3 linked regions of the Rattus norvegicus genome follow. The protein of the gene in region 1 interacts with the protein of each later gene in a biochemical or structural test. Links are inferred from orthologs where the notes say so. Each region holds a gene or a part of one and is shown in the gene's direction. Other genes may lie near its edges.

Region 1 (4,293 bases):
TAGATGATTAAGTATGTGAGTGGCTTGGTCTCCATCCTTTGTCACTTGCTTTTTACCAGCTCCCAGGTCAGCCCTCTGGCTCCTGGCCCCGCCACTATTGCGGTGGGCACCTCCCCTCCTCACAGTGCTGCACAGTGACCTCTTCCAGGCCTTGCTGGGTGAGTAATGCTAGTGTTCTGAGGGGCCACAATGGAAAGGGCTGGCCTGCGGTATGGGGTCACCTGTTATAGGTTCTAGGCTGGTTGGAATCCTGCAGAGCCCCTAGTCCAGGCTCTTGCTTTTGTGGTCATCCCACTGTGTCCCAGCAGCATCCATCCTAGCTAGAGGAACTTGTCTCTCAACACACAGAGCCATGGGTAGCAGGGGTGGCCAGAGGGGCCTGAGGTTTGGGAGGTGACTTAATTCTGTTCCTGTGACAGACATCCTGGACTATTATGAGGCTTGCATCTTAGAGAGTCAGGTAAGGTGATGATGGTGGGTGCCTGGCTTCCTGACTGCTCAAGCTGGCAGGACTGGAGGGATGAGGACGTTCTTGCTAATTTTAAACTGAGACTTAGGGGCCTTGGCAACAAAATCCCTAGTACTGACTGAGGAGTCGGGGGCACTGACAGTGCTCTTTCTGTGGGCAGCCAGCCCTGTACCCTTTCTCCGTTCTCCCCTTTCTTGGCTTGCCCCAATTTCAGCACCAGAAAGTCCAGGTCATAATTAATTACTTTTCAGACTTCTTCCTGTGACTCCTAGGGGAGAACTAGGTCCCCAAGGTTCTCTAATGTTAGCCCCTCCCTCAGCCCCGTACCCCGTGGTGTGGCCTCCCTCCAGCACTCAACCAGCCAGGGATGCTCTCATCTCAGATGTGGGCCTTTTCCCTCTAAGGAATGAAATCCGTCCTCGTCTTTAATGTCATCATCGAGGTTAGCCAGGTCTCCATGTTTGCCGTAGGGCCTCTCTGCTTGTGCTTCTATCTCCTTTCCCATTATCCGGGTTCCTGCCAGCAGTGAAGGAGTTAACACTGCCAAGGCACCCCCCCATTCTGGCTCCTAGCTCCCTCCCTCCCTCCCCCTGCTTCCTCTCTCCTCCTCTCTCCCCTTCCCTCCTCGGCTCCGCGGCTACATCGGCCGCTGCCATCTCCAACCCCCCCCACCCCACTCCCCCGCCACGGCCCCTAGCCCCTGGCCGTTTGGCAAGACCCCCGCATACCCCGGGGCTTCCCGAAATCCAGATCCCCTCCCCCACCCCAGCTCATGCCCCAGCCCCAGAACTCCGGGGCTGCCAGCCCCCTGTGCCCCTGCCCCTCCTGAGAATCGGGGTGTGCTCCTCAAGCCCCCTCCCCTCCACTGGGGAGCCCCCTTTAGGGTCCCCCCTCCCTTCCACGCTCCCCTACCCTTCTCTTCTCCAACCTTCTCCTTCCCCTCTCACCCCTCCCCCCATCCTGGCCCCCCCTGCAAAAGTGGGGTGCGGAGGGGGGAGGGGTGAGAACCCACCGAGGGGAGGAACAAAACTCCAATGAAGTCAGAGCCCCCTACTCGCCGCCGCGGCCAGGCCCCCCAACATGGACTGTCTCTGTATAGTGACAACCAAGGTAAGCATGATGGGGGGAGCAGTGGGGAGGGGGAGTAGGTAATGAATTTGTGGAGAAGGCTTAGGTAGGCCTTATCTAGGGTTGCAGGCACTGAAGTGAGCGCATCTAAAGTAAGATGTATTAGAGGGGTCACAATTTAGTTTTGGGGTTCACATCTGAGAAAACGATGGATTTGGTCCACAGGTGCCTCCTGGAGTGATCATTTTGTACCTATAAAGAAATGGAGAATTTGATTTGGTGTTTGGGGTGTCTTGGTGGGCTCTGGTGTTCATCAGCAGTGTTTTGAGGGCAATTTATTTAAGGAGAAGCCCGCCTGCCTCACATGGGAGTTCTGCTCATATATGTGGGAAGGTGGGCTATGTGAGTGTGTTAGGGGGAGGGTTGTCTTCCTTCCTGGGCAAAAAAGCTCATTTCAAGATGCTGACCAATTGACCAATTTTGGGGGGGTGTCTCTTGGCATAAGGGTAAAGGTTACTGGTTGTGTCTGGCTTGTCTGGCTGTGTCAACTAGCAGGTAAGGGTGGGCCTTCAGGTAATAAAACATCTTGTGCTAGACATGTTTGAGATGCTCCTGATTTGAGGGAATTGTACATTTAGGGTTTAATTATGTGGAATAGAGTGAGTGACCTGGGAGTTTCCAGAGGGCTGAGGCCTGATGCAGCCTTACCTGAGAGAATGGACCAGGTGGGATTAGGATTCAGGGTACTCCCATGGGAGCTAGAAGGTTGCAAAGCTGAGGTTGTCATCTCGTAAGAAGGATGAGAGGTGTGGGGTAGGAGGATAAAAAGAAGGTAGTTGAGGAGGGGGACCATGTGGGTGGTACAAAATTTGGGGGTAGCCCAGGCAGGTGCCCACTATTCCCATCTCCCACATTTTATCTAGCCTTGGTCAAGAGAACAGAATAGCAGATGGGGAGGGGGGCTGTTACCCTGACGCTTGAGAGGACACCTGGATCTAAGGGTCTCTGAAGGCTTGTGAGGTGAAGAGGCCACTGGGGTAAAACGGTATAGAAAGAGGGCAGGGCTGGCGGAACTGGGATCCATACAGGGTACAAGGGTGTCCCTGTGGTCAGAGCCTGGAAAGAGTGGGAGATCTGGGATGAAAGCCCAAGAAGCTTAGGTCGGTCGCTTGCTCCCAGACTCTGGGACTGGCAGGCTAGATGCCTGGTGTGAGGAGGGAGGCTTGGGCGGGCGGCAGGCAGCTGGGGGTTGGGGGGTGGGACAGGAAGTGGGGGCCGGGGGAGGCGGGGTCCGGGTGAGTCACAGGCTGGGGAGGGGGTTATATTTAGTGGGAACTGCAGCTTCTTATGGAAGGAAGCTGAGGACACACATGTTCCTTGCCACAAACTCACACATGTGTATACACATGCATTGTGCACGTGTGAACATGATTAGAGATTGGGGACTGAAGATTTCAGGTCTGCATCCTTTACCCCATCTACAGGGCTGGTTGTTTTTCTCCTGGTCTGTGGATTTTGGGCTTTCTTCCAGGCTGCTGCTTCTCTTATCCCCCGTAGTTTTCAGTAGATTTTTGTGCCTCGGTTCTTCTAGCCCTCTTTCAGTCAGTGTCTGCCTGTGTTCTTTGTGCCTTCTGTCCTTAGGCCTAATCCCTGGCCTTGGCAACCTAGCTGTCATCACCTTTGTACTGATGTATATAGGAACTCATTGGAATGTGTGAGTTCTCCTTCTAACATGAACACATGAAATCCAATAAGGGTGAGGGGCTTAGTAGCACTGGTAGCTATTCTGAGTGGATGTGTCTATTCATTTCTCTGCTCCAGTTTTCAATGTGTTCGATGGAACACATGATTGAGCAACCCTGAAGGTAGGAGGCTTGCCTAGAGGATCATGTATTCAGGTCTTACTGAGGTTTGGAGACCCATGTTTGCAACATTCATTGGTCAGAAAACTTGTCAGCCTTAGATGGAGGGACTCCAACTCCCATAAGGCCTTGAGGTACAAGATCCTTCAATAGTAGAGCGTCGTGGTCCACAGGACTGTTGGGAGTTGTGGTTCCTCTCTATCCAGGCCAGTTGAGGGTGGCCCAGGAGAAACCAGCAGGGGGCACATGGCTTCTGCCCTCCGAAAATGCTGGGGAGTGGGATTGGGAGTGCTCAGCCTTTGTAGTCACTGAGCTCTCCTGGTCTGTTTGACAGCCTTCCCATTTTTCGTTGCCTATATTTATAAATTGCTGCAGTAATTTAAGGAACATTTTTGAATACTTAATATATGTTCAGCTCTGTACTCCGTGGAAACTCTGCTTTACAGCTATCACTGAGTCTTATTCGGTACCTAGATCTCTGCCAGTATCTCTATCTCTGAGCAGCTTTCTCCCACTCCGCCCCCGTCCCTCCCCCTTCTCCCCGCGCTGCTGCCGCAGTTGTCATGGTAACCAGCGACGACTGAAGTTGCGTGGCGTACTTGAGGGCAGGGCGAGGGTGGTGGAGGGCGGAGCAGAACAAATGGAGGCTGGGGGGAAAGTAGGGAAGAAATAGGGGGCATTTGGCCAGGGCCCTGGAGGCGAAGTGGTTAAGCCCTCTGGGTGGTCCTTATTGGGCAAAGCTAAGATGCTGTGGGCGGGGCAATGTGTCCAATAGCTTCATTCATTGGTCGGCAGGGGCGTGGCGGAAGGGTAGTGTGGGCGAGGCCGGGGGAGCGAATGGGCGGGAAGCGGAGGGAGGCGTGGTTTCATGGAGCAAGTGGGCGGAGTCGGCTT
Region 2 (4,351 bases), on another chromosome or scaffold:
CTTTTAACCACCTTCAATACCTCCAACCCCACATTAGCAACAGGCGTCTGCACTGTCGACAGCCTGCGGCCTTGTAGGAGTCTGTCTCCTCATCCTTGTGCTTCTTACTCAATCCTGTGAAGCAAGAGGCATCGGAGGCCCAGGGAATCACCGCCTTTAGACTTGTCCCTGTGTCAGGCGGGAGGGTGGCCCCGAGTGGCACTTGCTAGCTAGCTGCACAGCTTACTTGGAACTTGCAAAAGCTTCCTTTTCCCTGCCTCCCCATATAGCCTGCCATTACACACTAGGATCTCGGCTATAAGCCTACATTTTATCAGCCAAGTATCTACAGTTGTGCCTTTTCCATACAGGGCTTAGTTTATGCTTGTAAATACTTCACAATAGCCTTGCAGTTTACCAGCATCTCATATCAGCACACTGTTAAGATGGACCTACTGTGCAGAACACACAGGAGGGAGTTCCATTTATCTCAGGTCCTATCTGGAGAAATAATGCCTTTCCATAAAGGAACGTTTTTGCAAAGTCAGCAACTTGCCTCCTGGGTGACTTTCCCTGGGGGGTGGGCTTGTTCTTCCCCTATAAAATGCAACGTTCTGTATGCAGGTCGTTGACCCCGTTAAGACCACATCAAGATAAGTTTAGGGAAGGATCCTGATGTGTGTTTTTATGGCATAAAATGTCTCACACCAAATTGTGAATTGTTAATTTTTTAAAACAGAAATGTCTGGTGACCAGCATACTGAGCCTAAAAATTTGAACTAGCGCAGGCTAGCTTTGCCCAGGACAGGGCAGTCCAGAATAGAGTGAACTGAAGATGCCACTGTGCTTCCGTCAGTCCTCGAATTTTTTGTAAAAGGTGGGGAGGGAAGCAGTAACTACTTTAGTTTTTCAGTGCACAAAGTAACAGATTTACTGTGACATTTTCACTTATGCCTCTCCCCGTTACTCCTCTGTCTCCCCCACCCTCTGCCCCGATAGGAACCTTGTTTTAAGAGGTAGGTAATTTTGCAGCTGTGCTTAAGCCGATGTGCTTAACTGGGCTCTTTTTACTACATAATTTTTTTTTTTTTTGGAGCTGGGGACCGAACCCAGGGCCTTGCGCTTCCTAGGTAAGCGCTCTACCACTGAGCTAAATCCCTAGCCCCACTACATAATTTTTTAACCCAGAAGAAGTCTTTGCTGTTTTTATCCCATACTCAGTCCTCTCCAAGGCACTAATTTTAGAGAAAAGGATCTGTAACTAAGTGCTAGAGAAGCAACTGAGGTGTGTTCCCCTGGCGTTCACTCAGCCTCCTGTGGGCTTCAGCTCTTGCAGTGCAAGTTCCAGTGCTTTTTTTATTGAGAGGGACAGACGCTGCTCACAGCTACGGAGCAGCCTAGGTGCGCCCCTCGGCTGTTATCGGGAGTCACGTGGGTCCTGGCCCCGCCCCGGGCTCCTGAGGTCTGCGTGCGTGCTCGCTGCCTTTGCAGAAGCACAGCGCTCCACCGCGAGCGGGAGGCATGGGCGCATGGCTGCCAGGCCAGGCTGAGCACTCAGAAGAAAAGCCCGGCGTCTTGGCGGTGTTGCCCTGCAGGGCTGACTCGCATGTGGACTAACCCGAAAGACTTGAAGGGACACTTGTAAAGCATGGTGGCGCATGATGAGATCGGAGGTCTCCTGCCCATTAAAAGGACGATCCGGGTCTTAGATGTTAATAACCAGCCCTTCAGGGAGCAGGAGGTAAGAGCAGACCAAAGGAATGTTTTCCAACTCCGCAGAACTTCTAAGACTTTGCAACTTCACTTTTAAACTTTTAACCGTATTACGTCCTAAAATGTATAACTATTATAAGCAAGGCTGAAATGTGTTTAGGAACTGTGGTCTAAGTTTAAGCAAATTTTTTTATATAGCATAGCTAAATTTTGAAAAGTTACATACAAAGGCGATTTTAAATATATTTGAGTCTCTGAGTAAACGTTTCTCGTGTTCGGTATGGTTGTGGTTTTTTTCTAACTGCTGTTACTAAGTCTTGTGGACTGTTTAAGGGAGGAAGGAGAAATAAGAACAAGTGAGTAAAGTCCGACCTGGGATACGTGTTCACTTTGCTTTCCCCATACTTAAGCTTGCCCTCTTTTCCTCCGAAGGGAGGTTTGAGTTCAGAACACTCACCCTCTGCCTGCCTGGCTTTGCTTGAAGTCGTTTTGGCTTTCTCAAATCTTTATAAACATTTATGAAAAAATTATTTTATGAAATTTTATGTAATTTGTGAGTTGTTTGGTGCAGAGGTGTGTCCTGCTGCCTGGTCGCTTCCGTGGTAGAAATGGTTATGGTTTCAGCCTACCAGATCTTTTGATAGTGGTGATTTTGGGGGGGAAGGGGAGACATATGTAATTGTCCATTTTAATTAAACATGAGCAGTTTAATCACATGCCTCAGGGAATGTTTGTTCTACATGCATAGGCTGCCATCTTTGTGTGGGGGTTGATACTGAATTCTGTTATTTGTTTGGGTTCACTTTTCTTACATGTTATAAAATGAATAAGCATTGTCTGGGTAGAGAATGCTTCTTCATACAATTCTGTGAGTGAAAATACCCAAAGGAGCTATCTCTTAGGCCATCAAGGATGTGCATTTTTGTTAGTATGAGACATGGGCTGTTTTCCTGGTCCCTTTACTTGGAGCATTCAAATAACCAGGAACGGAGTCCTGGCTTCAGAACTGGTAACACAGCCCTAATGACCTGAGTGTAAAAGAAGAGAATACTTGGTGATCAAAACTCGTCTTTATCTTTCTCAAGGGAAAAAAAACTTTTTTTATTCTTGTTTTCCTGTTTTTAAAGTTGTTGCCAAGTGAGAGATTATATATGAGCAATCCAAAAGGAATAAAAAAAAAAAAGTACCATGATTCGATTGACTCTACAATATGCCCTGTAGTGAATGACATCATTAGGGGAAAAAAGCTACAAAAAGCTAAATTCCCCCAAGGGTTTCATCCAGCTGCTGGGTTTATCAATAAGATACATCCCAGTAAAGCTTTAAGGTAGACTTAACTCTGCTTATAGATACTCTGGCAATGTCCTAGGACACAGAGTTAGTGGGGGTGAACCATGAGAAGCCCAGGGCTAGGCAGATTCATTCCCTCATGTGATGGACGCGTAGTCTGATTAAAGATTAACTCAGCAAACAGCAGAGCCTCCTGAGCGGCTTTCCCCTTCCAAGTGAACCCTGACCCTCATCACCCTGCAATGGAAGCTCCTTGAGGGTGAGCCTTGTTAGCACTCGTTGTTTATTCTCCCAGATCTGCTGCTTGTCTTTAGGAGGGACTCTAAGCAAATCACCCCTGCCACCATTACAGAATTAAGCTGGGCCTGGCATGGTGGGGGCAGGGGAGGGGGTACTAGGGGGGAGGGGAGCCTTCGGGGGAGTGTGGGGCGGACTTTCATCACCTCCAAATATCACTACTGAGTCCTGTCCAGGAGAGGTGCATGTGGGTATAACAACAGCCTTATGATACAGATGCTCATGTCCTCAGTACATCAGATAGTACATCAGATAGCTGGGTGGTTCGCTTGGACCTGTAGAAGGACCACTTTTGCTTATAATTTACATAGCTCACATTGTAAGGCACATTCTCAAAGAAACAGATTTTGCTCCTACCTTTTTGCTGACTCTTGAGTGCCTAATCCGTTTCACTTCTCCGCCAAAAAGAAAAGTATGATCTTTTCTTCTACATTGTCTGTATCCTGAAACTGACAGTAGGCCATTTTACCTTTTTCATTATTTGAAAAGGAGTTCCCAACGGCTATCATGTTAGCCATTTTTGTTTGTATATTTTGGTTTGGTTTAGTTTAGTTTTTGGTTTGGTTTGGTTTTGCTTTTCTCAACTCACACTGGGTAGCCCAGGCTAGATCAGGCTGGCCTGGAACTGTTGCCAAGCCTCGGTTTAACCTGCCAAGTGTACACACTATATTAGGTACCCTGACTTTTACTTTCTAACTCACTGGGCAGTGCACCTTTCTAAAGACCTTCAAATGGATATTAAATATTTGGTGATTTACTGGGAAGTGAAACTTGTGTGCTTTGAACAGGGAAGAGGTGCCAACCTCTGTTTCCGAAGCACAAGAGTCAGGCAGCTGCTCTGTGTCTAGTTCATGCTGCAAGGCTTGCTTCGTGAGGTAATTCTATCTCCATTCACTGGAGACGCTTTGTGCTGTCTTTACTAAATGGAAAGGAATGCCCCAAGCTGCCCCTGCACACGGGTGTGTCACTCAGTCTGCACAGATGTGTGCTGGAGGCACTCACATGTGCCCTCGTCAGACAGCATCTGCCATTTTACTGCGTGTCTCAAGGCTTCTTGGTCAGCTCATTGTGG
Region 3 (3,595 bases), on another chromosome or scaffold:
CCCTCCCCCCAACAGTCTAGTCCACTGGGGGTTCAGTCTTAGCAGGACCCAGGGCTTCCCCTTCCACTGGTGCTCTTACTAGGATATTTATTGCTACCTATGGGGTCAGAGTCCAGGGTCAGTCCATGTATAGTCTTTAGGTAGTGGCTTAGTCCCTGGAAGCTCTGATTGCTTGGCATTGTTGTACATATGGGGTCTCGAGCCCCTTCAAGCTCTTCCAGTTCTTTCTCTGATTCCTTCAACGGGGGACCTATTCTCAGTTCAGTGGTTTGCTGCTGGCATTCGCCTCTGTATTTAGCAAGAACATTCTTAAGTGACAGAATAACTAAAGTGCTCCAAGGATTCTCTCTTACACATGCCAGAGATTCTCCATCTACTAGGACATCATCACGTGTCTGTTATAGAGTTAAAGGAATGCACATCTGTGTCATAACTATTTAAGGTATTATGTCAGGTTCCTTCTGTTGCCTTTAGCTCGGGATATGCAAGATGGGAAAGAGTATGGTCTATCTCCTGCCTATGGGCGATGTCAGAGACATTCCAATGACACAGAAACATGATAGCCCTAAAATGAATTGCTACAAATATACTTCCAGCATGGCCATGGAAGGTATATGTTTAGGGCAGAAAAAAAAGTCTCTAAAATATTTGGTAAGTTGGAAGCTCTGTCTGTGAAAATACTTGAGACTTCTTACAGAAGAATGTTTTAAAAGTTCCTGATCACTTCTTCAATTGTAAATGAGGCAAATCTCTGGAATTCCTAGAAATTTCTAATTATCAAGAGTTCTGGAACTCTGACACACCACTTTGGGAATTCTGCATTCTCTATTTGCAGTAGATGCTTACGACTTAGCTGGATATATGTTTCCTGCAATCACATTCACTCATTAAAGCTACACCCTCATTGAAGACTGAAGAAAGGAAACAAGCTTCCTTATATAAGAAAGGGTATTCTCTTGGAGACCACAGTGACGATCCCTGACATGTTCATTTGCTTTTCAGGAATGTAAGTTCAGCTGGAGAGGAGGCCCGCCGCAGAATGCGGGAGTGTGATGGGCTCACGGATGCCTTGCTGTACGTGATTCAGTCTGCACTGGGGAGCAGTGAGATCGATAGCAAGGTTGGTGGTGTTTGCATAGCTTCATCTTTTTGAGTGATTAAAGGAACCCCAGAGATTAAACAAATGCTAGGAGCTGTGGGAAGCAACCACGGTATTTCATGCTTGCATTCTGAGCTCTATCCTGATAACCTCCACCATTGTCTAAAGGTATGGTCATGGTAGCTGAGGTCCAGCACTTGAATACTTGAATTTTCCACCAGCAGTTAGTGAAAATTCAGACTGGTGTAATTAACTCAAATCACTGGTGTCCAGGACGAGTATAAGTTATCACATATCTCATATATATATATACATATATATATATACATATATATATTATTTAAAAGTATATATATATACTTTTAAAGACAAAAATTCTCTTAGATTTGATAACTCATTATATTAAAAGATGTTTTAAAATCTTACAAAATCCTTCCTAGATTTTCAAACTGTTTAATCAAAGCTCCCAGCATGCTATGGCTCAAAGCCACTGTACTGTGTTTAGTTCATAGACCGAAATAGAATTAGGTATTGGTTGTCTTCCCCAGTATTTGAGATATTTTGTTTTGTCTTTATCAAATTAGTTTAATTAACAGCTAGAAAAATGAAATCTTATAGTAATCCTGATATAAAGCTATATGTCACCTATACTTTTAAAAATAATATATGCACACACTGTCCCTCTTTAATAAGAGCTACTCTGGAGTTGCTGTTACAGACATCTGGAGCAGAGTAAGCCTATGTTGTGAGCGTGTGGATTGAGCTTGTTAAGCACACTCTCTGGTCTCTCCATCCACTCAATACCAATAGTTTTCCTTACACCCATCCACCACAGCTCTCAACTCAAAGGGGATAAGACAGAGTTTACCATGGAGCCTGATTTGAGTGGCCGTGGTCTGGGAGCATGGATTTAGATTACTCCAAATTCCAATTTTTTGACATGGAACTAGTTTCATGGAGTTTTTTTTTTCTTTTCACAATATTTTTTACCAGTTATTTGGGAATTTCGCATCATAAACCATAATTATACTCCTCAGTCCTCCCAGGTCCACCCCTCCGCCCTTGAGGCCTACACTTCCCTCCAAAAAAGAAGAAGGAAAAAGTCTAGTTCCTGTTACCCCAATTCTCACTGGATGAGAAAGGACTTGGTTTTCTTTAAGGGATTGGTCACAGGGAGTTTTATGAAGCTTTTAAGGTAGTAAAATACAGAAAAATTATAAAACAGGACTTATTAAAAATACATTGGTAGGAAAATCAGAGGAGGTGGTTTACTTTATTTTATGTCCTGAATGCTGTCTGACAGCACTCTTAGCCCTTTCTTTGATAGAAAACTAGAGTTCTGTTAGTATATTCCAAATCCAAGAGCCTGGCTAGGAAGGGATCTTAGGTCTGATGGTCTGAGGGGCCGAGAAGGTAAAGCATGATTATTTAATAGGTTAAAGATCACCCATAATAAATTGTAGAGCCTCTGGACCTGTGAAACTCCAAACAGTCTGCAGTCACAGAGGTTTTAGTCAGTCAGTCCCTGCAGACATATTCTCTTCAGGAATCCATAACACCAAACAACAGTGTCTCCAAGCTCGGAACATGTCCTAAAAGGAACTTGGATGGCATGGCTGTGAACGCTTCCCGTGATCCCATGGTTTCCAGCACTAACTCTGCCTCAGAATTACCTTTGAAACAACTGATGAAGATGCCTGCTGGAATCTTATTACCCCCACTGGGGCCCCATTGCCACCCTTCAAATCTAAACACCCAACCTTGGCCACAAGTAATTGGCCCTTGAGAAGTGAATTGTGGTCTGTTGGTATTATGGCTTAAAATCCTGCCTGGATGGATGGAGCTTTGAAATAGACCACTTAGGAGGCCTGCATAAGCTCATGTAGCTATAAAGTCAGATGGAAGACAAATGTCAGGGGCTCAGTTTTCATGGTGCTTCCTTACAGTCCTGGTGGGATGCCCTGTGCTCGAGCCCCAGCACCTCATACAATGGATGCGGTGGCACTCACCCAGAATTAAAGGCTTGAAGATCACAAGTTCAAGGCTATCCTCGGCCACACTGAATGAAGTATGAGCCTGAGCTAAGTGAAACCCAGTCTCAAAAACAATAACAAAGGAACAGTCATTTAGGGCTGGAGAAGTGGCTTGACAGTTAAGAGCACTTACTGCTCTTGCAGAGTTCAGTTTACAGATCTCACACTGCAGCTCATAACTGCCTTGCACTCGAGCTCCAAAGGGTCCAATGCCCCTTCTGGGCACTCAGCTCCAGGCACACACATGGTACACATGCTTACTGGCAAGCAAAACAATCATGTGTGTAAAATAAACATAAATTTTAAATAACACTGCAATAGGCTTACCAATTGATCACCTTTATGGGTGAATTAAATCTAGCCCTTCTTAACCTTGACTGTGCATAACGATTACCAAGAAATTAAAAAAAAAAAGTACTAGTGTCTAAGCCTGTCGCCCTGAAGATTTGTGTTCAAGGTATCT

The links.
Region 2: the proteins of Dlg4 (region 1) and Net1 interact in a biophysical measurement, tested with the Homo sapiens proteins (2 studies listed by IntAct, with this or other methods). The link is inferred for Rattus norvegicus from reciprocal best matches to the Homo sapiens genes DLG4 and NET1.
Region 3: the proteins of Dlg4 (region 1) and Ctnnd2 interact in a test that uses a peptide from one of them, tested with the Homo sapiens proteins (2 studies listed by IntAct, with this or other methods). The link is inferred for Rattus norvegicus from reciprocal best matches to the Homo sapiens genes DLG4 and CTNND2.

The regions. Positions count from the first base shown.
Region 1 is NC_086028.1:55,238,291-55,242,583, forward strand, and holds the start of Dlg4 (disks large homolog 4), read left to right. Parts: upstream 1-1,493; 5' UTR 1,494-1,549; coding exon 1,550-1,579; intron 1,580-4,293. UniProt on the Homo sapiens protein: Postsynaptic scaffolding protein that plays a critical role in synaptogenesis and synaptic plasticity by providing a platform for the postsynaptic clustering of crucial synaptic proteins.
Region 2 is NC_086035.1:71,268,687-71,273,037, forward strand, and holds the start of Net1 (neuroepithelial cell-transforming gene 1 protein), read left to right. Parts: upstream 1-1,546; 5' UTR 1,547-1,627; coding exon 1,628-1,720; intron 1,721-4,351. UniProt on the Homo sapiens protein: Acts as a guanine nucleotide exchange factor (GEF) for RhoA GTPase. May be involved in activation of the SAPK/JNK pathway Stimulates genotoxic stress-induced RHOB activity in breast cancer cells leading to their cell death.
Region 3 is NC_086020.1:83,596,418-83,600,012, forward strand, and holds part of Ctnnd2 (catenin delta-2), read left to right. Parts: intron 1-1,002; coding exon 1,003-1,120; intron 1,121-3,595. UniProt on the Homo sapiens protein: Has a critical role in neuronal development, particularly in the formation and/or maintenance of dendritic spines and synapses. Involved in the regulation of Wnt signaling.